Linked DNA regions of Rattus norvegicus. The protein of the gene in region 2 purifies or fractionates together with the protein of the main gene of each other region. This does not show direct contact. Links are inferred from orthologs where the notes say so. Each region holds a gene or a part of one and is shown on either strand. Other genes may lie near its edges. The genes, in order: Nolc1, Arrb2, Src, Igf1r, Tcof1 and Mapk1.

What was found.
Region 1: the proteins of Arrb2 (region 2) and Nolc1 purify together in Homo sapiens (affinity purification with mass spectrometry; 5 studies listed by BioGRID and IntAct, counting the BioPlex papers as one, with this or other methods). This does not show direct contact. The link is inferred for Rattus norvegicus from reciprocal best matches to the Homo sapiens genes ARRB2 and NOLC1.
Region 3: the proteins of Arrb2 (region 2) and Src purify together in Homo sapiens (affinity purification with western blotting; 4 studies listed by BioGRID and IntAct, with this or other methods). This does not show direct contact. The link is inferred for Rattus norvegicus from reciprocal best matches to the Homo sapiens genes ARRB2 and SRC.
Region 4: the proteins of Arrb2 (region 2) and Igf1r purify together in Homo sapiens (affinity purification with western blotting; 4 studies listed by BioGRID). This does not show direct contact. The link is inferred for Rattus norvegicus from reciprocal best matches to the Homo sapiens genes ARRB2 and IGF1R.
Region 5: the proteins of Arrb2 (region 2) and Tcof1 purify together in Homo sapiens (affinity purification with western blotting; 4 studies listed by BioGRID and IntAct, with this or other methods). This does not show direct contact. The link is inferred for Rattus norvegicus from reciprocal best matches to the Homo sapiens genes ARRB2 and TCOF1.
Region 6: the proteins of Arrb2 (region 2) and Mapk1 purify together in Homo sapiens (affinity purification with western blotting; 3 studies listed by BioGRID and IntAct, with this or other methods). This does not show direct contact. The link is inferred for Rattus norvegicus from reciprocal best matches to the Homo sapiens genes ARRB2 and MAPK1.

Annotation. Positions count from the first base shown.
Region 1 is NC_086019.1:254,868,954-254,873,158, reverse strand, and holds the start of Nolc1 (nucleolar and coiled-body phosphoprotein 1), read right to left. Parts: upstream 2,801-4,205; 5' UTR 2,749-2,800; coding exon 2,629-2,748; intron 1-2,628. UniProt on the Homo sapiens protein: Nucleolar protein that acts as a regulator of RNA polymerase I by connecting RNA polymerase I with enzymes responsible for ribosomal processing and modification.
Region 2 is NC_086028.1:55,644,234-55,648,401, reverse strand, and holds the start of Arrb2 (beta-arrestin-2), read right to left. Parts: upstream 2,801-4,168; 5' UTR 2,723-2,800; coding exon 2,700-2,722; intron 1-2,699. UniProt on the Homo sapiens protein: Functions in regulating agonist-mediated G-protein coupled receptor (GPCR) signaling by mediating both receptor desensitization and resensitization processes.
Region 3 is NC_086021.1:166,551,188-166,554,687, reverse strand, and holds part of Src (proto-oncogene tyrosine-protein kinase Src), read right to left. Parts: intron 2,294-3,500; coding exon 2,144-2,293; intron 1,098-2,143; coding exon 942-1,097; intron 1-941. UniProt on the Homo sapiens protein: Non-receptor protein tyrosine kinase which is activated following engagement of many different classes of cellular receptors including immune response receptors, integrins and other adhesion receptors, receptor protein tyrosine kinases, G protein-coupled receptors as well as cytokine receptors.
Region 4 is NC_086019.1:130,958,703-130,962,796, forward strand, and holds the start of Igf1r (insulin-like growth factor 1 receptor isoform 1 precursor), read left to right. Parts: upstream 1-1,294; 5' UTR 1,295-2,249; coding exon 2,250-2,343; intron 2,344-4,094. UniProt on the Homo sapiens protein: Receptor tyrosine kinase which mediates actions of insulin-like growth factor 1 (IGF1). Binds IGF1 with high affinity and IGF2 and insulin (INS) with a lower affinity. The activated IGF1R is involved in cell growth and survival control.
Region 5 is NC_086036.1:56,567,928-56,571,997, forward strand, and holds the start of Tcof1 (treacle protein), read right to left. Parts: upstream 2,801-4,070; 5' UTR 2,675-2,800; coding exon 2,567-2,674; intron 1-2,566.
Region 6 is NC_086029.1:97,482,826-97,486,325, reverse strand, and holds part of Mapk1 (mitogen-activated protein kinase 1), read left to right. Parts: coding exon 1-108; intron 109-2,917; coding exon 2,918-3,032; intron 3,033-3,270; coding exon 3,271-3,402; intron 3,403-3,500. UniProt on the Homo sapiens protein: Serine/threonine kinase which acts as an essential component of the MAP kinase signal transduction pathway. MAPK1/ERK2 and MAPK3/ERK1 are the 2 MAPKs which play an important role in the MAPK/ERK cascade.

The DNA.
Region 1 (4,205 bases), on a different chromosome or scaffold from region 2:
ATCAATGTAATTTGTCAGCCTGGCATGGTCCCAGCACTTGGAAGACAGACTGGCAGATCTGTGAGGCCAAGGCCCAAGAGGACTATATACAGAGTTCCAGGACACCAGGGTTATGTAAAGAGACCTTGTCTCAAAAGTTGTTTTACTGGCTGGAGAGATGGCTCAGTGGTTAAGAGGTCCTGAGTTCAAATCCCAGCAACCACATGGTGGCTCACAACCATGTGTAATAAGATCTCATGCTCTGTTCTGGTGTGTCTGAAGACAGCTACAGTGTATTTATATATAATAAATCTTTTTTAAAAAGTTATTTTAAGGGGCTGGGGATTTAGCTCAGTGGTAGAGCGCTTACCTAGGAAGCGCAAGGCCCTGGGTTCGGTCCCCAGCTCCGAAAAAAAGAACCAAAAAAAAAAAAAAAAGTTATTTTAACTACCTACTCAATTTGAAATGGATGTTACATCTTAAGACTTTTCCTACTTGTATAAATTAGGAGAAAAATATTCCACTTACATATCACCTAACACTGAACATGAAAACTTTATAGCATAGCTATTCCTATGCCTTTCCATCCACACTTTTACCAGCGCCCACATCTGTTAACTCCAGATCCACGCAATCCTGACACCTGTGGCTTCATATTTTCTAACTATTAACTTTTTTCCTAAACAATTGACTTTTAAAAGTCAGAAAGGAAAAAAAAAAAAGTCAGAAAGGCGGGGCTGGAGAATTGGCTCAATTCCCAGCACCCACATGGTAGCTCTCTACTGTCTGAACTCCAGAATCTAACACATCACACACATTTACATGCAGGCAAACCACCAACGTGCATGAGAGAATACATAAGCAAACAAAGGTTCCAGGTGTGGTGGCATATGCCTTAAATTCTAGCATGTGGGAAGGAGAGACAAGTAGAGATGAGTTTAAGTCTACACAGTGAGCCCCAGGACAGCCATAACTATATATTGAGACCCCATGTCTTAAGAAGGAAGGGTGGGGGGGTTGGGGATTTAGCTCAGTGGTAGACCACTTGCCTAGCCTGGGTTCGGTCCCCAGCTCCGAAAAAAAGGAAAAAAAGAAGGAAGGGCGGGGAGGAGTAAGGGGCACTGGAAGAAGGTCCATCGGCTAAGACCATTCAGGAACAGGTGGGCATGTATCATCAGATCACATGCCAGGCTGCCCTGGCTCAAAGAACTCTCTTATGTGGTCTGGTGGCCTGTAACCCAAGATTCCCAGGATCTAAGGCAGGAAGATCATAAGGCCAAGGCCAGGTCAAAAATGGCCACAGAAACAGGAGGGGACCAGGCAGTTATGATGGTGCAGCCTTTAATTCCAACGCTGAGGAATCAGAGGCAGGGGCATCTCTGGGAGGCCAGTCTACTCTGCATATGAGTTCCAGGCTAGCCAGGGTTACACGATGAGACATAGAAAATAGAAATAGAAATAAAGCAGAAGAAACCTAAATTGTCAGTTATGCTATCACCCTGAAAAAAAAAAGACCGTAAGTCTACACAGTCTTTCAAGGTGTTTCCATGAACACTACAGCTTTTCTTAAGATGCAGACGAGACATTTCACATTCCTTCACTTAATTTTGCTCTTACATGGATTTGAAGTGACACAATAGCTGTCACTCATCCCATGGTCCCTGTGTGTCTACAATGAGATTACTGGCTTGTGTATTTTTCGCTTGGTGAATCTCATTCACTCAAAAGCTGTAAATAGGGCTGAGCACACCTTTTTATCCCTGCTTTTGGTAGGCAGAGTGAGAGCTGAGTTCAAGGACAATCTGGTCTACAAAGTGAGTTGCAAGACAGCCAAGGCTACACAAAGAGAAACTCTTGTCTTGACAACAAAAACCAAAATGGCATCCTGCTATGTTCAGGCATGCTTAGGATGAGGAGGCTGAGGCAAGAGGGACAGAAGTTTACATCCATCTTCCACTCTACAAGGACTTTTATACACAATATAAAGGGTTGAACTTTGTTTTAAATAAAAGGATGCCCAGGATCATCAATGTAGAAAGTGGTGGATCTGGCCTAAGCCTCCATTTGCTTTATATCACTACCTGAAGCTCCAAGCCCAGTGCCAACTTGACAGGGAAAGATGCTCACGCTTTCTATGGTATACTGAAAGCAGCCTATCCCTGCACTCATTCATTAAGTAACTAAATAAATAATGATATCCTAGTTTTCATTGCTACGCAGTTTATCCCTGCACTCACTCATTTTTTAAAGTGTATAAATAAATAGGATCCTAGCCTTCACTAGTAACAATTTATCTTTGAGTCTCAGGTAAAACTGCAACCAAGTGTAAGTCCAACAAAAAGTACAGCAGAAGCAGGCACCGCCAAACCAATGCTCCGGGAGGGATCTATCGCCACATGTCCTAGGTCACGAGGGACCCATGCCTGCCACCACTGCAAAACTCACCAAAAGCCGTAAGATTCGGAGCTAGTCAGACGTGATGGAAAGAGATGCCGAGACCTTAAGCCTCAGAAAGGTCGGCAGAGAGGCTTCACAGACATTAGACTGACAGACCCCAGACCTCGATTTCTTGACTTCTAAACCTGACAAGGCCTAGACTACCTTGGAGAGTCGTCCCACCCCGGCCCGCAAACCAAACCAAGGACTCACAGCGCCTGTCGCTTTTGCAAATTTACTGGCCACCTCTGAGAGCTGGTTATCTCGCAGAAAGCCGAGCACAAGGGGATAAAGGTCGCTGGGAACCACGCGGCGCAAGCCGGTATCCGCCATACTCCGGGTTAAACGCGTCACTACCGTTGCGCACGCGGTACGACTGAAGAACTCCAGAGCACAGCCAGGGTAGAGGGCGGGCCCAGTGTCGTCATCACGTCGCGCGGCGCGCAGCGGAAGAATGGCCCCCACGAGGCAGGGCTCCCTCCGCCCCGGAGGCAGGACGCATGCGAAATCTATAAGTTCCTTCCGGTCTCACACGCGTCGTCATCCTGTAAAGGGCGGAGCCCACTAGCCTTCCCCCCCAAGGAGGCGGAGCTTTACGTCAGAGGTCACGCTCCCGTCCGAGGCGGGAAAACTTGCAACTTCCCGCGCATTATCTCTGCTGAATGGACTTCTATCTATAGAAACGTAGTTTCCAAGCCCCGGCTGCTATTCAGACCCCACGATAATCAAAGGAATGGAGAACTCGAGTCTCTTTCACCTTTCTAGAGGTGTCGTCTACTGCTCAAGCTCCCACCAACAATGACTTCTTCACATCCTTCACACCCAGTGAGACTCAAATCATAAGGCAATCCTAAAAGTTGTGGTGACAAAGGTGTTAGTATCCCACATTGACTGTCAGTCACAGCTAGGTTTAAAGACTGTTATCCCAACCATACACAACTCGAAAAGGGGGAGGAGAGCACGGGTTCATTCCAGAGAAAAGATCAAGGGACTCAATAACCCTTTCTTCCTTAAGTCAGAAGTCACACTGAATTCTGAAAACTCCACTATCAGCTATTTTCCAGGTCACATTAGTTATCCCTCACGAAACAATAAAGATGCACTTCCTGTGAACACCTTTTACTTTCCTCAAAACAGTCGCTCCTTCTAAAAAGAAATGTTATCCTATTTCCCAGAGGAGGTGCTTCTATCCATCCATCCATATTAATTTTTTTAAAAAAATCCACGCGCCAGGACGGTGATCAAATTAAATTGGTGAGCTTACCTGAAACACTTAATAGACACAAACCCCAGTTGAGAAAACTTTTATTCTCATAGGCTTGGTGGCAAATGCCTTGAAACCCAGGGTTGAGAGACAAAAGTAGGTAGATCTGAGGAGAGAGGGAGAGGAGGGTGGGGCAAAGGAGGAGGAAGAGGAGTTCTTTTGAGTTTGAAATACTATAATCCCAACACTTTGAAGGCAGAAGCAGTTATCCCTTGAGTGAGATCCAGGATAGTCAGGTTTATACAGAAAAACCCTGGCTTCAGAAGACAAACAACAACAACAACAAAAAAAAAAAAAAAAAAAAAACCAACCCCAAAACTGTATCTTCTCCATCCCACAAGTGTCTGTATTCTAAAATATCTCCATGCACAGGCTGTCACTGTAAGAGAGTAGGCAGGAGAACTGGGGTTTCAGTCCAGTCTGAACAACTCTACAGAACCCAGAAAGGGATTGGTGTAAATGTTAACCCATAAATACCTGAGTGTTCAGATACATGACAAGGCTGTACAAGCAGGGTGCAGTGGCT
Region 2 (4,168 bases):
TCCCTTAGGCTGGGCAGGGACCACCACGCCGGGATTTATCCCTCCCCCCAGAGAAATGGAATTCACCCTGGATCCCTGCTCGACCCTTCCCACTGCTTTTTTTTACTGCTTCCCACCGGTATTTGAAGCCTCTTGAAGCCAACTGTCAGGCCTTTCCTCTTTGCTGTTGATGTTACTAACTCACTCCTCCGCTTATAGTAAATGGCCACTGTTTGCCCCAGCCAACTATTCAGGCTCTCCTGAGGGACCCTCTCCGAAACCAAGAGTCAACTGATGGCTACACAATGTCTGGGTCACACCTAACACTCCTCCCTCCCTTTTGACCTTGGCCTTAGTATGTAACTCTGGCTAGCCTGGAACTTGACTTGTAGACCAGGCTGGCCCCAACTCAGATCCATTTACCTCTGTCTCTTTGGTGCTAGGATGAAGGGGCACGAACTACCACACTCAGATGAACTCTTTAACTGACCTCTAGCTTCAAGGACTCACACAGTGACTCCTGGAGCAGAGTCTTTGCCCCTCAGATGTTTCTGTCCCCAAGTCTGACTATTTCATGAACCTCCAACAGCCCCGTTTCTGACCTCAGCAGCTTAAAAAAAAACAAAAACAAAAAAACCCACTGTGGTCCCCACACAGTAGCATCCTGTGACAAACATGGTGATTCTGGCTAACATTGACTGGTGACTGCTGTGTTCTAGCACTGTACCAACTGCGTTTACAGCTCTTATCGCCCAGTGACAGAGGCTAAAAGACCCCGGCTTTACGGCAAACAAGAATTTTGTCAAAGGTCACAGAGAAGGTACAGGGTGGGACTCGGATATAAACCTGAGGAAGGCACCCTGGTTTCAAGACCCTGTTCTCAACCACTAAGTCGTGAAGCTCGCCTGTCACAGTTTGTCAAGTCTAAGGGGATTTTTCTGTACAGACACTAGAACAACCTAAGTCTAGACTCCACCCACGGCTAGGAGGATAGGAAACTGTCTAGTGACCCCAGAGCTCTGGCCATTCCTTGGCTTGTTCTTCCAAGAACAACTCTACCCCTTCTAAGGCCTTTTGGCTCCGGAGCAATTCCTGAAAGGGCCCCCAGATAACAGGCTGAAAACTGCCCAGAGTTCCATCCTCCCTTCAACACACTATGTGAGTTTCTGCTTGGAAAAACCACTTGTCTCCTCCTTCCCCAAAGCCAAGCTGCCCATACATCACTGGGCCACACACACTTAGGGTCACATGGCATATACATAGGCTGCCCTAAGTATCCCCAAGTAATAAAGGCACATTTGGACATGGTGGCGGTTAGAATAATCACTCTAATTTCTGTCCCAATTAGGGCTGACAGCTTGGACATCACCTAGGTTGGCTCTTTCTCCTACTTCTGGTTTCCTCCTGTCTTGTATTTTCCCCCACTGGGAGCCCTGGCAGAACCTGTGACGACCACACAATCATTGTATCTCCGTCAGTTGCCCTGCTCTTACCCAGCCATGGTTAGGGAGGGCGCAGCGTGCACAGTGTGCTTGGCCAAGAAGGCAGAGCAAGGGAATTACCAGGGAGGTACCCAGCTTGGAGGGGTGCAGCTAAAGCAGATGCCTCTTTGTACTTCCTGCCATTCTCGCCATTTCCTCTGGCCCAGAATTTGATGAGATGGTAGGGAATTATGCCAAGTCAGCAGTCTTTCTTTGGTCCATCTATTCCCTCCCTGAAGTACTCAACGGAAATTTGGGGGCCTCCCCCCCAAGTAAGTGACTTCTCCTTTCTCTGGGGTTTAGTTTAACCTCAAATCTAGGAGGTCAATCTTCCCTGTAAGCATCTCTCTCAGATATTGGTCTTCTTAATACTTAAGGGCAGTGGGAGTGGTGGGGTTGGTCTCATGTTTTGCAGAAGTCACTGTTCATAATCAGGCCCTTATCCTTGGTCCTCTCTGGCTTGAGGCACATGGCCCCAACCTATTATTTAGTTCTTGCTCCTTTGGAACTCAAGTATTCACCCCATGTCCTCCTGGGGGTGTTGGGTCACAACAGGAAGTGGATTTTGCTATAGACCAAAAAAGAGAACTCTGGTATCAGTGGAAGGAAGGAGCCTCGATTGCACAGAAAACATCCGGGGAGAGGATGTGTGTCCAGGGCAGATACTACCTCTCTCTCTCCCCAGGACAGGAATAAAGCCCAATTTCAGCGAGGGTCCCTATGCACTCTACTCTCTCAAGAAGCTGTTGCTCCTAGCAACCTAGGAGAAGGCAGAAGTTTGGTAGCAGAGCTATCCGACCCTTGGGACAGGTGGGAGCAATCAGACTGTGGGGTATTGGGCAGGAGGCTTTCCATTGGTTGGGCACGAGTCTAGGGGAATCCCTTCCCAGCATCCAGTCTCCCAGCACACAACCCCTCGGGGCCGGCCACCTGCTCCTCCTTCCTCCGCCCCTGCATCACAGCCTGCAGAGAACCCAGTAGTCCGACTCCTACATCTCTGTGAGAACCCAGGCGTGGGTTTCCCGATCTCTATCAAGTCTTGCTTTTTGCAGGAGCCCCAGCACGCACCCCCACTCCAATATCCTCAAGGACCTAGGCTTGCGGCCCCGGACAGCTACCCTCTAGGGACCCAGGCGTCCGGCCCCGGGGTTTCTTCCCCGGTGTCCTTGTCTGTGGATCAACCTGGCACACTCCGCGAGCAGCCGCCCATGCCCCGCGGCACGGCCCCACCTCCCTTACCTGGTCCCGGGTTTTTCACCCATGGTGCGCGCGCGCTCGCCGCCCTCCACCCGCCGGGTTCGCGGCTCGCTCGCAGCCTTCTCACCCGCTGCCAGGTCCCCACTCCTCCCCGAGTCACTGCGCACGCGCGTCCTCACTCTTTCTCCTCCTTCCCCTCCCCTCGCGGTCTGGGTCTAGGGGAGCTGGGGCCAGCTGCGTCAGCCGGAGCCCGCGCGCCGCGGCGCAGCCCGCCCTCTTCGAGCTGGCTCCGCCCCACGCCTCCGCCCTCAGTCTCCCTCGGGGAAGCCTCCTCGCGCCGTCCCTACTCTCGATCTCCCCGCCCCTCCTCAAGCCTTTGGAACTAGATTGGGCCCCTTAAAATGGAGGCGGCCGCCTTCGAGAAGTTTAGAAGCAGCTGATTGGCCGTTGGTATCCATAGCCCTGCAGGGATCCCTCCCCTTTGTTTGCTTTCACTGTAGCGGAGGAGGGACGGGATCGAGGGGGCGGTGGGAATGAGCTCAAACACTGTCTGGGTCTGAGCACCAAGGGGCTGCCCACGTGGGTGAGCCGTATCTGTTGCGTGATGATGCTTGCTTTGGTATGCGCTGCTCATCCCTGAGCTTGCAGCCTTGTTTGGCCTACCTTTCCCGCGTTCTCGTGGTCTTCAGCTCCCCCTGGTGTATTGTCTTTGATTTTTTTTTTTTTTTTTTGCAGTGTCACTTTAAAACATTCAGACTTTGTCATCTCCCTTACCGTCTATCCTAGCCATCATTCACCTACTCCACTTATCTCTTCCATTCTTCATCCTTCCCTCCCTGCCTATTTTGTGTAAGTCACTGTGCAGAGCCATCGGGACAACATCATGGCCTAAGTTTCCTGGGATCCGTGAGACATATAAAACAGGTATTATGCTCCCAGGAACGCTATAATAGATATGACTCAGACCATCAAGCAACTAAAAGCCTAAAAGCGCTTGGCCAGCGTGGAGGAGGGAGTGCAGTCACTCCATAGCATAGGAAATTTGAGGACAGCCCTTCTGAAGGATGGACAGAAGTGGGGAAAGGACATCCTAAAGATGAGTAAGGAAAAGCACGCCCTGTTCTAAAATGTCTGTGGGTTAGATGGCAGGAGGTAGAGCTGCGGAGGAATAGAAGAGACGGTGGAAGACTGTGTATAGCAGGTGAAAGAAAGAGCCCGAGGAACTGTAGTCTTTATTTAATTTAATTTAATTTAATTTTCTGCTAGGGCCTCACATATGCTTAGCTCACCACTAATTCCAGCCCAGTGCTGATTTGATTGGGTTTTGCTTTCACCAGAGGAATGTCGAGATAGGACTTCTCTTTTTGGGTAACGTGTCGCATAGCGAGACCGCTCGCTAGAAGATAAGCTAGCCGAGGGAAAATGATGAACAGAGAGTGGAGGGGAGCAGAGGGGCCATATTAGAGGTTCATTGCTGGGGCAGCATTGACTGGGTTTGGCGGAAGACGACA
Region 3 (3,500 bases), on a different chromosome or scaffold from region 2:
GAACAGACAGGCCAGCCTGGGAGACCTCCTTGCCACAGGGGCGGGGTCTGAGGGTAGGGCCAGCATTCCTGGAGGTTGCTGGTCTGTGCAGAACTCCAGGAAAAAGTGGCAAGTCCTCAGATCCCCACCACATACCAAGAATCACAGTTAAGGTTGAGAAGGACCAAGACTGTGGCTCACCCAGGCTCTGTACAAACCTTCCTTTTGGTCTGTTTTAAAGCTGGCCTCTCCATCTGCCCTTTCTCCTCACAACCCAGGACGTCCCTTGCCTACCTGGCCCAACCCCTCTAATGCCCTCTGAAAAGAAGACAGTGAAGTGGAAACGGCCACTAAGTCCCAACAGTCCCCTTACTCCTCCTGGGTGGGCAGAAAGCAGCTGACAGCAGGGGAGCCGGGTTTGGCTAGGACAGCTCAGTGACTGTCCCAAGGGCCTCCCAACGGCTGCACAATTAGACGGGAGACCGGACACCTACTTCCCATTACTCCCTCCGCACAGCACTGTCTCTCTCTGTGCTGAACTAACATGCAGATGCCTCCTGAAGCTTAACATCAACCCCGTGTTCACATCAGGAGGCTGAGGCGTGGTGTGAGACCTGGCCACACTCACTCAGGCCCTTGAGGACCATGGTGCCCAGTCCCCAGCAGCTCTTGGTACCCAGATGCCCTAGTCTCCAGCGGCATGGGCTACAAGGAGTCAGGTGCCCACCCTCAGTGCTGACCCTAGTTGAGTCATAGTGTGTATGGGGGTGAGGGTGAGGAGCAAAGTATATTACAGGTGAGTTTGAAAATGTCACAGGGAAAACGTAATAATTTGCATAGTTAATGTAAGGCAATAAAACAAAACAAAACCAGAGCCCAGTTGTTCAGCAGAGACAATTAAAGGCAGGGACTCAGGTCTTTGAGCTGTCTAGCTGGGATGAGGATAGGGCTGTGTTCCTTACCCATCCACACCTCTCCGAAGCAACCCTGGCCCAGCTTGACCTCCAGCCGCAGGGACTCCCGGGGGATCTCCCACGCATCCTTGGCCAGGCCCTGGGTCTGAGGCTTGGATGTGGGACACACGGTAGTGAGACGGTGACACAGGCCATCAGCATGTTCTGGAGACGGAAGTAGGAAATGGGGCTCAGGCAGGATCCCACAGCAAGCTGGCCTCCCTGTCCTGTGTGTATGGCCCTAGGCATCGTGTGCACGTTAGCTCTGGGGACAGGCAGACACCCTCCTGTAGACCTCTATTCCCCAAGGGCCTGTGGCACAAAAGTCACCTGCTCAAATCTCTCATTCGTTCAGTTACCCACCATATTTGGGAGTATAGAGCCAGTGAGGAACAGGTGTGAGAGCCTGCTCTAGGGAGGCCACACCCACACCCCAGTCACCTAGCAAGATCTCAGCACACAGATGCCACGGAGGATAGTTTGGGAGTGGGGAGTCAAGCAGGCTTTAGTAATCCTTTGGGAGCCCTGGAAGGCAGGTTCCTGGCCTTGATTTGGGGGGGTAACTAGGTGGCACCCCATACAGCACATCACCTATGCCAGGGCACAAGGCAAGATCAACTGAGGGGTTGGAAGAGAGGCCGGGAGGTGGGAAGCAGCAGGTGACGTTGGAGGAACCGGCAGGTAAAGGCCCCCGGGGCTTGGAGCCTTGGAACTGTATCACAAGGTTCCTGGAGGATTTGGTCTGGGAATCAAATGGTCCCCAGAGTAGAAGCAGACGGACAGAGGGCAGCTAGTCCTAGAGAGGCTGGAGGCCCAGACCGAGGAGGCAGCCCCCGCACAGAAGGGTGCACACCAAGCCCATCTTTGCACACGGCCCGCGCCCGCGCCCGCGCCCGCACCCGCACGCCGGCTCTGCTGCTCTCTGTCAAAGAAGCCTCCCCCTCCTTCTCTCCCAGGAACCGGTTCAGACCAGTCTTAGGGCTGCAGAAACAATCAGCACCAGCCTCTGGCCCCTCCCCTCTAGCTTGCTCAAGGCAGACCCCCTCCTCACCAGCCAGCTGCGGAGGAAGGAGAGGCTGGGCGGAGAGAGAGGGGAGAAAGGAGAAGATGGAGGAGAGGCAGGGAGGGTAGAGGCATTCCAGGGGTGAGGAGGCACACCCTGTGGCACCCTGCTCCCCTGGGTGAGTCCCCACGCGGCCGGGAACACTCACTGGAGTAGTAAGCCACAAGCTGCTGCAGGCTGTTGAATTGCGTGCGGGAGGTGATGTAGAATCCGCCACTGTCCAGTTTCCGGATCTTGTAGTGTTTCACATTTAGGCCCTTGGCATTGTCAAAGTCGGATACAGAGAGGCAGTAGGCACCTGTGGGTAGACAGGGAGGAGACCCCGAGGCACCCTGCTAGTGTGCTTCTTGCTTGAGGAAGTGAGTTGGTTCCACTCTCTTTCAGCCCCTAATGTGCCTAGAGGAGCGGGCTCCGGGCACAGCCAGGCAAATCACAAAACCCCCAATGGCAGAGACCCCCTCCCCCAAACTCGCAGCCCTGGTAAGACGTCTGAGTCCCAAATGTGCTCACAACTGTGTGACCCTAACTAGCCGTAGCTTGTCCTCTCTGTTTCCTCCCCTGCACAATGACACTATTGTGAAGATTCATAGGATACTCCGCAAGCACTCCATAAATGCTGGCTACTGCGCTCTCTGTATGCCCACTCTGTCCTCATCTGCTTACTGAACACCAGCTGAGCAGACAGGAGTAGCCACTGGGTTGGTTATGTGGACATGGGAGTAATTAGCCCTGGGCAGGAGGTACATTCTGAGTGTGGCCTGCAGGCTGTGCCCCTGCCTGGCCTCTCTGGAGCCTAGAAGAACTGCAGCTGGTAATGTTCTGAACAGAAACCTTTGTTAAATAAAGCTTGGATCGACTCAGATAGAGGTGGGGCACAGGGTCGAGCGACCTGCTGGGTAGTAGGGAGTGCTGAGCGGAAGGACTGCCCACCACCCGCTGAGGAGGTCCCTGGAGCCCCAGTGAACCTCTGCAGGTAAATATGATGATCTTCTGGTAACACTCAACCTGTCTCAAACAATACTGGGAAGTCATGTTTCCTACAGTCTGCCCACTTCATGTGCACACAGAAGGCACAGGCTGGTGGCCATACCTATGCCCTGTGGCCACATATCCCCAAGCCCCAGGAGCCAGGCCACACCACATTTCACTCCAGCAGCACCCTCCAAGCCCAGCAGTGCAGGAGCATGCTCGCGCGCGCGCACACACACACACACACACACAAACACACACACACACACACCCATCATCGTGTACTGTGCACAGCACACAGGGGGCACAGCACGAGCACTTTTCCATCTCCTGCTGAGCCCCAGGCCCACAAGAAGCAGCCTGGCTTGGTTGCCATGGTGATGGGCTGGGAGAAAGGACAGAATCAGAGCGGAGACAGTCTGTGGGGGAAGGGCAAGGCCAGAAAAGGCCCCTGGGAAAAGGAAAAGGGAAACAGAGGGGCACACTGCTTCTGTTCCCATCCTGAGAACACATCTACAACTGTGTCACATCCCTGG
Region 4 (4,094 bases), on a different chromosome or scaffold from region 2:
CCGAGGATACTTGGGCTGGTGCTAGTTTCAAGTCACTTACGGATCAAATGAAGCTAGAGGGACGCGGAGGGGAGGGGGGATATTAGAGGCAGGTGCGGGTGGGTTTCTGCAGTGGCCACCGATCCTTGGTGACGGCTACACATTCTTAAGATTGGGACCTGAGCCAGACGACGTTGTCCGGGTTAGGGTCCCCGTCCGCAATCCCCATCCTGGGAACCCCCCGGACACGCCCCCCAGCTGCGGGTTCCCGCAGCCCGACACGCGCTGCGGTCCTTCTCCGCAGCTGCCCACGTGGTGGAGCACCGACCAGCACGATGCGGTGGAGCGCCCTCAGGGCGGGAGAGGAATGGGGCTGGGAGGCCCCGCCAGCACGACCCAGCCGAGTCGGTCCCCGACTCGGGGCCCCCACATTTCCTCCCCGGGAGGGAGGGAGGCGACATTCCCCGGGCCAGCCCTCCCGGGCTGCCGCCGCGCCCTCTGGCGGCCGCCGCGGAGACGCGTCTTGGGCACGAGGGGCCGCCTGTCTGGGTCCCCTTTCCAGGGCTCGGGACCCGCGGTGGAATCGCGGTGCTTCGAGAACAGAGGCATGCGGACCGCACCCTGTCCGCTCTCTGTCAGCGCGTAAGCACCGGAATACCCAAGGAGCACCGCCACGGGCGCCCAAGCTTGGGGTGGAAAGTGCCTTGCGTAGCAGCAGTCTCTTCAGGGGTCCCCTTTCCCCCAGGTGTGCCCCTCCCGCCGCGTCCGGGCTTTCCACCACGCTGCGAAAAAATGCCGCATGCATGCACTTATTTATTTATTTTGCAACAGCTGCAAGAAACAATGAAGCTTTTTCACAGAGCGGGCCAGCGCGCTCACCAGCCGCGCTGTTGTTGTTTTCAATGAAGCTCCGGGGCCGCACTCCCCGCCCACCGCGCCCGCAGCCCGCCCGCCCTGCCGCCGCCCCCTTGGCCACCGAGTCCCGCCGGCGCCCGGGGCATTGTTTTTTAGAGTCCTGCGGGTGGGGAGGGTGCGGACAGGGCCGGCCGGCGCAGTGCGGGTGGGGGCGGAAGCGTGGGCGCGCGCGTGGCTCAGTGTGCGCGCGGGGGCCGGCGCGGGTGGAGGCGCGGGGGGCGGTGCCTCCTGGGCCCGGCTCCCCACGCCCGCGCTCCGCTCCACACGTCCCTGCGATCCCGAACTCCGGCTCTTGGCGACTGCCGAATCGGGGCCCGGCCCTCGGCGCGCCGGGACTGCGGCTGTAGCCGCTTGGAGTGTGCGCGCGGGCACGTGTGCGCGGCCCCGAGAGCGCGCGCGTAGAGCCCCCAGTGTGTGGCGGCGGCGGCGCGGTGAGGCTGAGGTTCTTGTTTACCAGCATTAACTCCGCTGAGCGGAAAAAAAGGAGGAGGGGGAACCGAGGAGGAGCGAGCGCACCGGGCGAACTCGAGAGAGGCGAGCGACAGGGAAGCCGCCAGCGAGCCTATCCCGGCGCGCCCGGCGCTCGCAGACCCTCGGCCCCGCTCCTTGGACCCTCCACGCCTCTCCCGTGCCTGCAAGAGCTCCACGGCACGCGGCGTGCTCGGCTTTGACCTTCAGCGAGCCGGAGCCCCCGCGCACGGAGTCGGCGGCGGGCGGGGGCCGACGCGGGGCGGCGGGAGCGCTGAGCGCTGCGCGGCCGCCGCTTTGTGTGTCCTGGATTTGGATTTGGGAAGGAGCTCGCGGCGGCGGCGCTGAGGGAGGAGGCGGCGGCGAGCGGAGCCCAGAGGAGGAGGAGGAGCCGGAGGAGGGGGAACCGCTCATTCATTTCCACTCAGCATTTCTGCCCCTCGCCGGCCTCGCCCGCGCCCGGGACTTCGGACCAGTCTCGCCAACTGCGTCGGGCTCTCCCGCCGCGTAGGCTCGGGTGGTCGTTCCCTCCGGGAATCGGGGGCGTTTGTCCCCGCCTGCGGCGATTTGGGCTTTGCTCCTCTTTCTGTACAGTTTTCCTCCCTCTTCTGCATCTCTGGGTTTGCAAATGGAGGCCGACGACACCGACAGCCCGCCCCGGCGCGCCCCGGCTTCCCTACTCCGCCGCCCCGTGGGCCGCTGCTGCCGGCGCTGAGGGGCCGCCCCGCGCCACCCTCCCTGTCCACGCCGCTTTCCGAGGATCTTCGCTCTTGTTTTTGGACGAGAGTGAGGACTGAGTTGAAGACTTTTTTCTTTTTTTTTTCTTTTCTTTTCTTTTCTTTTCTTTTTTTTTTTGAGAAAAGGGAATTTTGTCCCAAATAAAAGGAATGAAGTCTGGCTCCGGAGGAGGGTCCCCGACCTCGCTGTGGGGGCTCGTGTTTCTCTCCGCCGCGCTCTCGCTCTGGCCGACGAGTGGAGAAAGTGAGTATTTGCCCGCCGCCCGCGGCCACTGCGGGAACTTTTCCTCCGAGGGGCTGCGCCCTGTTTGGGAAAACCCAGTTGCCACGGGCGCAGCTGTCGGACTCCGGGGCTCGGGAGCGGAGGGTGGGGCTCTCCCGGAAGGCCAGAGCGGATCGGGGCCCGAGTTCACGGTTCAGGAGCTCCAAGAGCCTGAGTTCAGCGCATCTGCGCGCGGGAAGGGCCTCGGGGCTTTCTCTTTCGCTGTCCCAGGAGCGCTGTCCCGCACGCGGCCTGGTGGGTGGGCAGTGCCTCCTCCCTAGCGGGTCAGGGGCAGCCTACTCCTGGGCACTTGGTGGGGAAGTTGGCATCTGGGTGTCTCCGGGAGCCCCGCTGCCCTCGTCTCCCCCCTCCGGGGCGCGCCACTTGGCACCCCAGCGCCCATCCAGCGCTGCGCACCATGACAGCACCCTTGGAGGCTCCACGGGTGTGTCCTAGGGTAGACCGACCTAGTACTTCGTGTTGGCCAGCCAGAGCCTTCTGCCCCGCGGGGTGCAAGTTGTCCTTGAGGGGGAGGTACGGGATGGGGAAGCCTCGCGGCCCCAGGACACGTTTCCAAACATCACGGCGCGGCCTTATATCACCCAACTTGTTGGGCCCATCGGGCCCCTCTGGTTCTTGGCCTTTCGCATCTCTGGAACCTGTAGGTGTCTAGTCCCCACCTCTCCCAAGACTTGGTAACTTGGGCTTCCCGGTGTGGCCTTGGGGTGCGGGGTGTGCTCCCCAGCTTCCCCTAAGGAAGTGTGAGCTTAAAACTTTCATCAGACGCCTGTGTGTGTGTGTTGGGGGGGGGGGGGCTTGGATGATACCCAGCTTAGAGGTTCCTTGGGCTCTCAGTTTCTACCTCGCTCTGGACACTTTTCCCCAGAAGTGTCTTAGTAAGAGGAGTTAGAGACATCCACCCATGTGCAGAGTCGACGTGCATTTCCACACACACGTGCTCTCCGCGCGGATTTAGGTGCATCCACAGCCATACGACCACGAGGTGACAACTGGACTGGCAAGAGATGTGCGGTGGCTTGAGCTGCGACAGGATCTGTAGTATGGTAGTGGACGGGTGGTTGTTTTGTTTTGTGAACGCGGAGCCCTGGCCTTGGTTTTGTTGTGCCCAAAGTTGTGTTGCATTGCCAACCCCCCCCCCCCCCCCCCCCCCCCCCGCCCCGCACTTCCTTTGTACATACTTAATAAGCAGTATCGCTCCATGCTCGCTATCGCTTGCAATCTGATAGCTTTTGTTTTGGTGGTGTCGGGTAGGAGTAGGTGGTGGTGGTGGGGTGTCTCTGGGAATGAGAACTCTCCACAGTGTATGGGGGCAGCAGGAGGAGGAGGGGGTTTTGTTCTCGAGAAAAACAGTGGCATACTGGTACTTCAGAGATGGTAGAGTAATTTGAACGCGATTAAAACTTTAAATGCAGTCTCTTGAGTTGGGGCTGGGGAAGTGAGGGCGTGCGGATGAGTAATGTTTGCAGAATGTATGCAGGTGGTGCCTATTAACTTCGAAAAAATCACGACCTAGCCTTGAGGAGTTAGCAAGGGGGAAACGATGGAGGCTGCGCGGGCCGTGCGGCCCCACCACTGCCGTAGTTCACAAAGGCTGTTTCTATAAACAAACCCTGAGCCTCTTTTAAGAAATATCTACGATGGAGTCCGAGCAGGTCTTTAAAGAACTGTAGCTGTAGTAAGCCTAGTGTAAGGCGCAGACTAGGGCCGACCCC
Region 5 (4,070 bases), on a different chromosome or scaffold from region 2:
TATATCAGTAAGAAGCACCTTTGAGAAGTAGGCACTGGGGTTGGGGATTTAGCTCAGTGGTAGAGCACTTGCCTAGCAAGTGCAAGGCCCTGGGTTCGGTCCCCAGCTTAAAAAAAGAGAGAGAGAGAGAGAGAGAGAGAGAGAGAGAGAGAGAGGGAGGGGTAGGCATTGAACTAGCATTACCCAGCATCCCTACCTCAGTCCAGGGATGGAAGCCATACGACAGAGCTTTCCTTTCCTAACCTCCCTGGATGGTTTTCCAAGGCCTGGCTAGTCAATCTACTCCAAAACATAAGATAGCCCAAACCCTGAAAACTTCCACATGACACAGTGGAATCCACTGGACGTCTGGAAAGAGACTGAGCCTAAAGGGTGCTAGGGTTGCAGTTAAAACAGAGGGAAACAGGTAGAATCCAGGCCTAAGCTGAGGACGCACTCTATGTGCATAAGACCGAACAGCTCCAATGGACTCCAAAGAGCTATGTGCAAAGGAAGAACGTACTAGCCCCTAAACATGAGTCAGGGAGAGCACCTATTCCATGACTCAGTTCATCTTCTCTCTCTGCAAACTTCAGGATCCTTCTTCACAGAACAATAAATGTGAGAGGGAAATGCAGAGTATCTCCTTTGCTCCAGGAGATGGAGGCAGGCAGATCTCTGAGTTCAAGGCCAGCCTAGTCTATAGAGAGTTCCAGGACAGCCAAGGCTACACAGAGAAAACTTGTCATGTCTGAAGGGCACAGTCCAGTCAGTCAGCTTCATTCTGCCCCTACCCTAGTGTCATAACAAAGTAAGTCGGGCCACTGGCTCCCAATAGGGCTTTGCCATTCTTGCCCCTGAAACTTTCTCTCTCTTGCCAACCACACAGCCTATTCTCATTTCCTTCTAGTCTCTACTCCAAGGTCATGGTCCCCATTAAAGCTTCTCTGACCATCTTAGCTATAACTGGAGGCTGATACTCTGAATCCCACTTGTTAGCCTCATAATGGTCAGCACCTGCCACAACATGCTAGCCACAAACTCTGTGTGTGTGTGTGTGTGTGTGTGTGTATTTGTGTCTTCTCTGTGAGAGCAGGGCACTCTTGCTTGGGCACACAAACCACGTGATAGGCTCTATACCCTGCTTCCAGTTATATAGTTTGAGTAGGGATGGACATGGAGTTCCAGGAAGGTTAAGAAAGCAATAGGTAGCATCTTAAGGGCCCAGCAACCTTTGGGCTTTAAGTTCGTTTTTTTGTTTGTTTGTTTGTTTGTTTGTTTTGTTTTGTTTTTCAAAACAGAGGTTCTCTGTGTAGCCTGGGCAGTCCTGGAACTTATTAGGCTGGCCTTGAACTCACTTGTTTTTCAAAACAGAGGTTCTCTGTGTAGCCTGGGCTGTCCTGGAACTTAATAGGCTGGCCTTGAACTCACAGAAACCAACCCTCCTTGGCCTCCAGAGTGTTGGGATTAAAGGCACAGGTCAAACCAGGGTGCCCCACCCCTCCCACCCCACTCCAGCTTAAGCTCTCTTTGTCTCTCTGTCTCTCTCTGAGACAGGATCTCACCATGCAGCCCTTGGCTGGTCTTAAACTCACTTTGTAGACCAGGCTATCTCTGAATTCAAGAGATCCGCCTGCCTCAATCTCTGGAGTGATGGGATTTTAAAGGCAGATGCCACCACACCTGGGGTCCTCCAGGTCAATATCCAGTTCACCAGTTACCACAGTTCTTCTGGGAAGACAACCCATAGGCCATTCCTGCCTATCGGCTTTGCCTCTATCTTTTTGGGAGACTCCATAGTCAAGCATTTCAAACTTCAGGCTCAGCAAACTTTCTGGAGGCTAGGACACTTGGAAGTCCCACTCCAACCTGGCATCTAAATACCCATCTCCCTCTAGATCTCAGATCAACTACTACATCCTCAGGGAAGCAGTCCTGGATATTCCCCGCCCAGGTTCTTCCACCCACGTTTCCGCACCTCGAATCTCTTGCTCTACAGCTTAATACAAAGTTAACTATACAGTCACTTTTGTGTTTCTTTTGTACTATCTACTAGGCTGTGAGGCGGGCAGAGGGGCCCCATTTCATCATCTGCACCTCAGTGCCAAATAAAAGTTGCCAAATGAATGAACTTTGAAGTTAGTGCACCACGGGTTCGAGTCTTGTCATAACCGAAGACAGCCAAGGGCCTGCACGCCCTGCATGCTAGATCATCAACTAAGGGGACCTTCGTCTCGGTGTTCCCAACAACAGTGGTGACAATCTGCTCCAGCTGGACTTCCAGGTGATGTCCCAGGGAAACTACATAGAGCCACGTGGCAAGATCCTAGGGAAACGTAAACCTGCCGCTACCGGGAACCCGGGCGGGAATTACAAAGCTGCGCTAGTCGGATCAGTTTCCGGCCCGCCCACTGCACCCATGGGGAAACTGAGCCTGGGAGGTGGCTGTAAGTCGCACGGAGTAGAGCAGAGTTTAATGTTCCTCCTGCTCCCTGGCCGACATCTCTGACTCGCGCTGGTTGGGTTTCCCGGGAGGGGCGCGGGCTACTGGCTCCCTTGATCTTGCACTGGGCCGTCTGACGCTTACCTGGCCGCTCTGCTCCTTAACTTCCCGCGCCGCGCGGACGTAGCCTGCTTGCAACAGATGATGGTAAATAAGGGGAAGCAGCTCCCGCCGCTTCCTGGCCTCGGCCATGCCAGAGATCCGGCCAGGCTATTCACGTGCACGCCCCCTCGCCCCCGCTAGCCGCTTCCCTCGCGCCCTAGAACCTCATGTCCCTCACTTCCGGCCTCGCGTCACCGGGCCGCGCGGCGCGCTGGGAAATGTAGTCTTGCCGCTGGAATGGGCTATCCGGTCCAAGAGGGCTGAGCCATGGAGGTTAACCAGCTCTGCCATTGGCTCGAAGGCGTGTCCTGATCTGGATCCGCCCTCTGGGCGGCCATGATTTTAAAAAAAGAAAAAAAGGTCTCCTGCATCTAAATTCTGATTTACACTTTGAAAAGATTTGATGCCTGTGGCGCCTTTATTCATTTTTGAACTTCCTGATTACTGGCCCCTGCTTCCGATTACTTATTTCACAGTGTTTAGGTCCCACGAATAAGGCTTGAGTTGTCACTGGTGTATTGAATCTCTAAACAAACCCTTACCTGAGCTAGGACAGCACCTAGCTAGGCTTGGGGCATATAAAGAGAAACAAAGCAAGCAGTTGACTCAAAAATCACCCAGGTGGGAGACACAGCAGACAACCTAGCAGTTACAGTTCAGATGTCTGGTGCACTTTGTTGAGAGAAGACAGAGCTCAGGGAAGCATGGAGGAAGGGCACCTATCCCCCAAGAGACATTTAAAATTAGCCTCAAAGACAGCAGAGACGTTTAAGCACTGTGGAGAGGCCAGGCTGGAGGTGCTCTATGAGTCAGAATGTGAAAATTACTTTGGTATTTGGTAAGGGAACCCCAAACAACCCTGTACTGCTAGGCTGTACAGTTGGAAAGATGAAAGTCCAAAATATAGAAAAAAAAATCCCGATGTAGGCTACTGTGTTTATTGAGGGGTACAGTGACCAGGAGAGAATGGGAGTGGCCTGGGACTATTTGAGGCACCTGTTCCTCAAGGACTGGTTGGGAATATGCTGACAGCTTTCACTACGAATTTGGGTCAACACACATGTCCACTGAAGTTTAGGACCCACATAAGCACATATGATAATTAAATCCTTAGTGGTGACTGGACTTTAGAATTACCTAAGAGCTACTCCTGTGGGTGTGTCTGAGTAGGGAGTGCCTGCATTCTTCTTTCACTGTTTCCTGGCCTGCTGATGCGTAACCAATATTCCTGCCATCCTATCTTTCCTTCTGTCATGGCCTGTGAACTGTGAGCCATAGTTAATCTTTCTAATGTAAGTTGCTTCTTGTGATATCTGGCCACAGGGACAAGAAAAGTGACATTCACATTCTAGGGAGAAGCACACAGGACCAGGTGACAGGAGCAGGTGGCATGTGCTGTGTGAGGACACGGGAGACTAATCTACATTCAGACATCAGGCAGATTTGTATTGAATGCCTACTACTGGAGACCACACGGTCTGTACGC
Region 6 (3,500 bases), on a different chromosome or scaffold from region 2:
TTTGGCCTTGCCCGTGTTGCAGATCCAGACCATGATCATACAGGGTTCTTGACAGAGTATGTAGCCACGCGTTGGTACAGAGCTCCAGAAATTATGTTGAATTCCAAGGTAAGAAAAAGAAACAATGGCTATAACCTTCCTCTCCAGCCCTCAGCCTGTATATCTGGACAGAGCCAGAGACTGTATGTCTGGACCGAGCTGTTTGAGAACTGGACTTTTTGGGTTAGGGTTCACCATCTTCAGTCACAATAACTGTAGACACCTATGTCCCTTCCCCATACATACTACTAAAATACCCCCCATGGCAACGTCCATACCTGTTCTTTATGTTATTGGGGTTTCTAGTAAGGTGTGTTTCTGTGCAAATGTTCCAGAGCTGTTCTACAAAGGTCAGGTTGTCTGATAACGAAGACTATCTCTCCAGCAAAATTACTGGGTGCAGAGAGAACAGAGCCACTATGGACCATTGAAATTATAGGGTAGTTATGTTTCAAACTGAAACCCTTGCTCCTCCTCTCCGAGTTGTTGTGAAGGGTATATCAGGCCATCCAGACTCTGCTAATAAGGCCTGAGTTGTGCTAATAGGTGGTGGTGCATGTCCTTAATCCTCGCATGCAGGCAGGAGCAGACAGAAGTCTGTGATTCTACTTAGCAAGTTCTAGGACGGCCCAGACTACATAAAGAGGCCTTCTCTCCACAAAAAAAAAAAAAGAAAGAAAAGAAAAGAAACAAAAAGGGGGACAAGCAAGCATAATGTCAGTACTCAGGAAGCAAAGGTAGAATTACCACAAGCCTGAGACCAGCCCAGGCTATTAATACTTTGTCACAAAAAGCAATTGAAGATGATTGAATAGATTTACAACTGCCAGGGGGGAAAATGAAGTATGCATTCTTCGTTAGAATTGTAAGATGGTAGGCAAAATTGAGCACTGTTTACAACATTGAGGTTCAGTTTGGATATGCGTTTGCTTTTTCCTGGTAGTTTTTTTGTTTTTGTTCTTTGTTTTGTTTGTTTTGTTGTAACTGTGTGTCTATATGGGTTTGTGCACATGTTTGGTGCCTAAAGGTACCAGTAGTGTTGGATGCCCTGGAATTGCAGGCATTGTTGTGTGCTGCTCAGTATGGCTGGGAAATAAACTCCTGGGCCCTCTGCAGGAGTCCTCTGCCAAACTGCATAGTCAGTGTCTCAGCACACAGCATGTGACCCGCTCTATCTAATTCATGCTGTTTGTGAGGAATGCAGCACTGGCTCAGGGTTTCACTTTTGTGTGTGCCTTTAATGTTGATAACAAGAAATGAGGTTAAGAGACTGGAGAGATGGCTCAGTGGTTAAGAGCACTGACTGCTCTTCCAGAGGTCCTGAGTTCAAATCCCAGCAACCACATGGTAGCTCACAACCATCTGTAATGAGATCCGATGCCCCCTTCTGGTGTGTCTGAATAGGAACCCAGTGTGCTCATATATAATAAATAAATCTTTAAAAAAATAAAGAAAGAGAAAGAAAGAAACGAGGTTAAGTTCATTATATCCAAAGGCAGAAACTGTATGTGCTATGATGAGTGCAGTTTCTGGATCATTTCCAGAACACTGCAGCTTAGTCCCTAGTTTGAGAGGAACTAGTTTGACTATGAAATTTTGTTTTTCATCAAACTCTTTTAAAGATAGTGGAAAGATAACTATTACTACCTTTTGTCGTTTAGTTTCCCCTATTATTTATTCTCTTGAGTTACAATCCACTCACTCTCCAGGATTTGGACCACTCCCCAGCAAGCAGCCTTGGACAGTTCCCTGCTATTCCTTGGCATCAGCTGCTGCGGACTGCTGTGTACACTCCTGTCCCAGCCCTAGAACAGGCTCTTCTCCCTCTCGAGGCCTCATTCCCTATCTGTTTATTCGCATATGTTATTTTTGCGGTTTTCATTGATCCATTTATTTACCTTTGGTAGATTACAAGAGATTTAGAAACAATTACTTAAAATCCTGTCTTATCATTACTGTAGTCACTGGTTCTTTGGTTTTCCAAAATCAACTCACTCTAAATTTACTGGTTGGCTTTTTTCTCTTGTTGCTTACATTTCCCTTTTCACTTATTACTATACCTAACATTTTCCACAAAATTTAGCTCGTGTTCCCTGTGAAAGCATCTTGAACTATTGTTACATTGAAATAAACTATGTGACTTTGAACAGACTTCCTTTAAAAAGAAAGAACCTAAGGAGTAAATAGAAAAGATGAATGTTGAAACCATCACCTAGGGTGGGGAGAGAAGGGCGTCCAGCCTGGATTTTTTTTTTTTTTTTTTTTTTTTTATTTACAAAATGGATAAAGTTGTTCCAGGAATATAGTGTTATTCATGTAAGTTGATTTCCAACTTTATAAAAATTAGCTGAATGATATATAAATAATGAGCATTAGTACTTTTTCTAGTTCTAGTTTGTAATAATTCTAAATCTCTAACTTTTAAAAATGGACTGAGGTATATTTCAGAAGTTCTAATGTAATAATTTCAAGAGATAAACATAATGTATTTATAATGATTCAGCATCTGTCTTTTTTGGATTTCTGTTGCTATGATAAAATGTCATGACCTAGAGCAAATTGGGGAGAAAAAGTTTATTTCTGCCTACAGTTCCACAATGCAATTCATCATCAGAGCAGAACGGCTTCTCCTGCCTCTGCCTCTGCCTCTGCCTCCTGAGTGCTGGGATTAAAGGTGTACATCACCACCCCCTGATGGCACCTCTGTAGAAAGCCAATCTGTTGTTTTTCATTCTGTGTGTCCCTGTGTTTCCCAATGATTGTCTCGAAGAAGATGCTCAACTCTCATCTGCCTCAAGGCTGTTACATAGAGAGATCTCCTCATGTTGTTGTGGACACTACACTCTGTTACTCTGTCTTTTCTCCCTTTGTGTTGCAGGGTTATACCAAGTCCATTGATATTTGGTCTGTGGGCTGCATCCTGGCAGAGATGCTATCCAACAGGCCTATCTTCCCAGGAAAGCATTACCTTGACCAGCTGAATCACATCCTGGGTAAGCTTGAGCACGGTTTCCATTTACGTTAGTCACACCAGACTCACTATTGGCATGGTTGGTTTGTTCTGTTTACATCTTCTCTACTTTAAAAATATTAAACATCCTTTTGTAGAAACTTGAAGTGCATTAAGTACATTCAGTACATTAAGTACAGAATCTCTTTTGTCCCATAGGTGATGTGTGTAGTAATTTGTCCTTAATCTTGACAATTAACAGCTAATGTTTTGTCTGATAGGTATTCTTGGATCTCCATCACAGGAAGATCTGAATTGTATAATAAATTTAAAAGCTAGAAACTATTTGCTTTCTCTCCCGCACAAAAATAAGGTGCCGTGGAACAGGTTGTTCCCAAACGCTGACTCCAAAGGTAAGACTTGCTTCACGACAGCTTTTCTTAAGCTTAGCTTTAGGTTTGCTTACTGTGTTGGCTAAGTTATTAGGCTCCAGCCCGAAAACTGCGCAAGT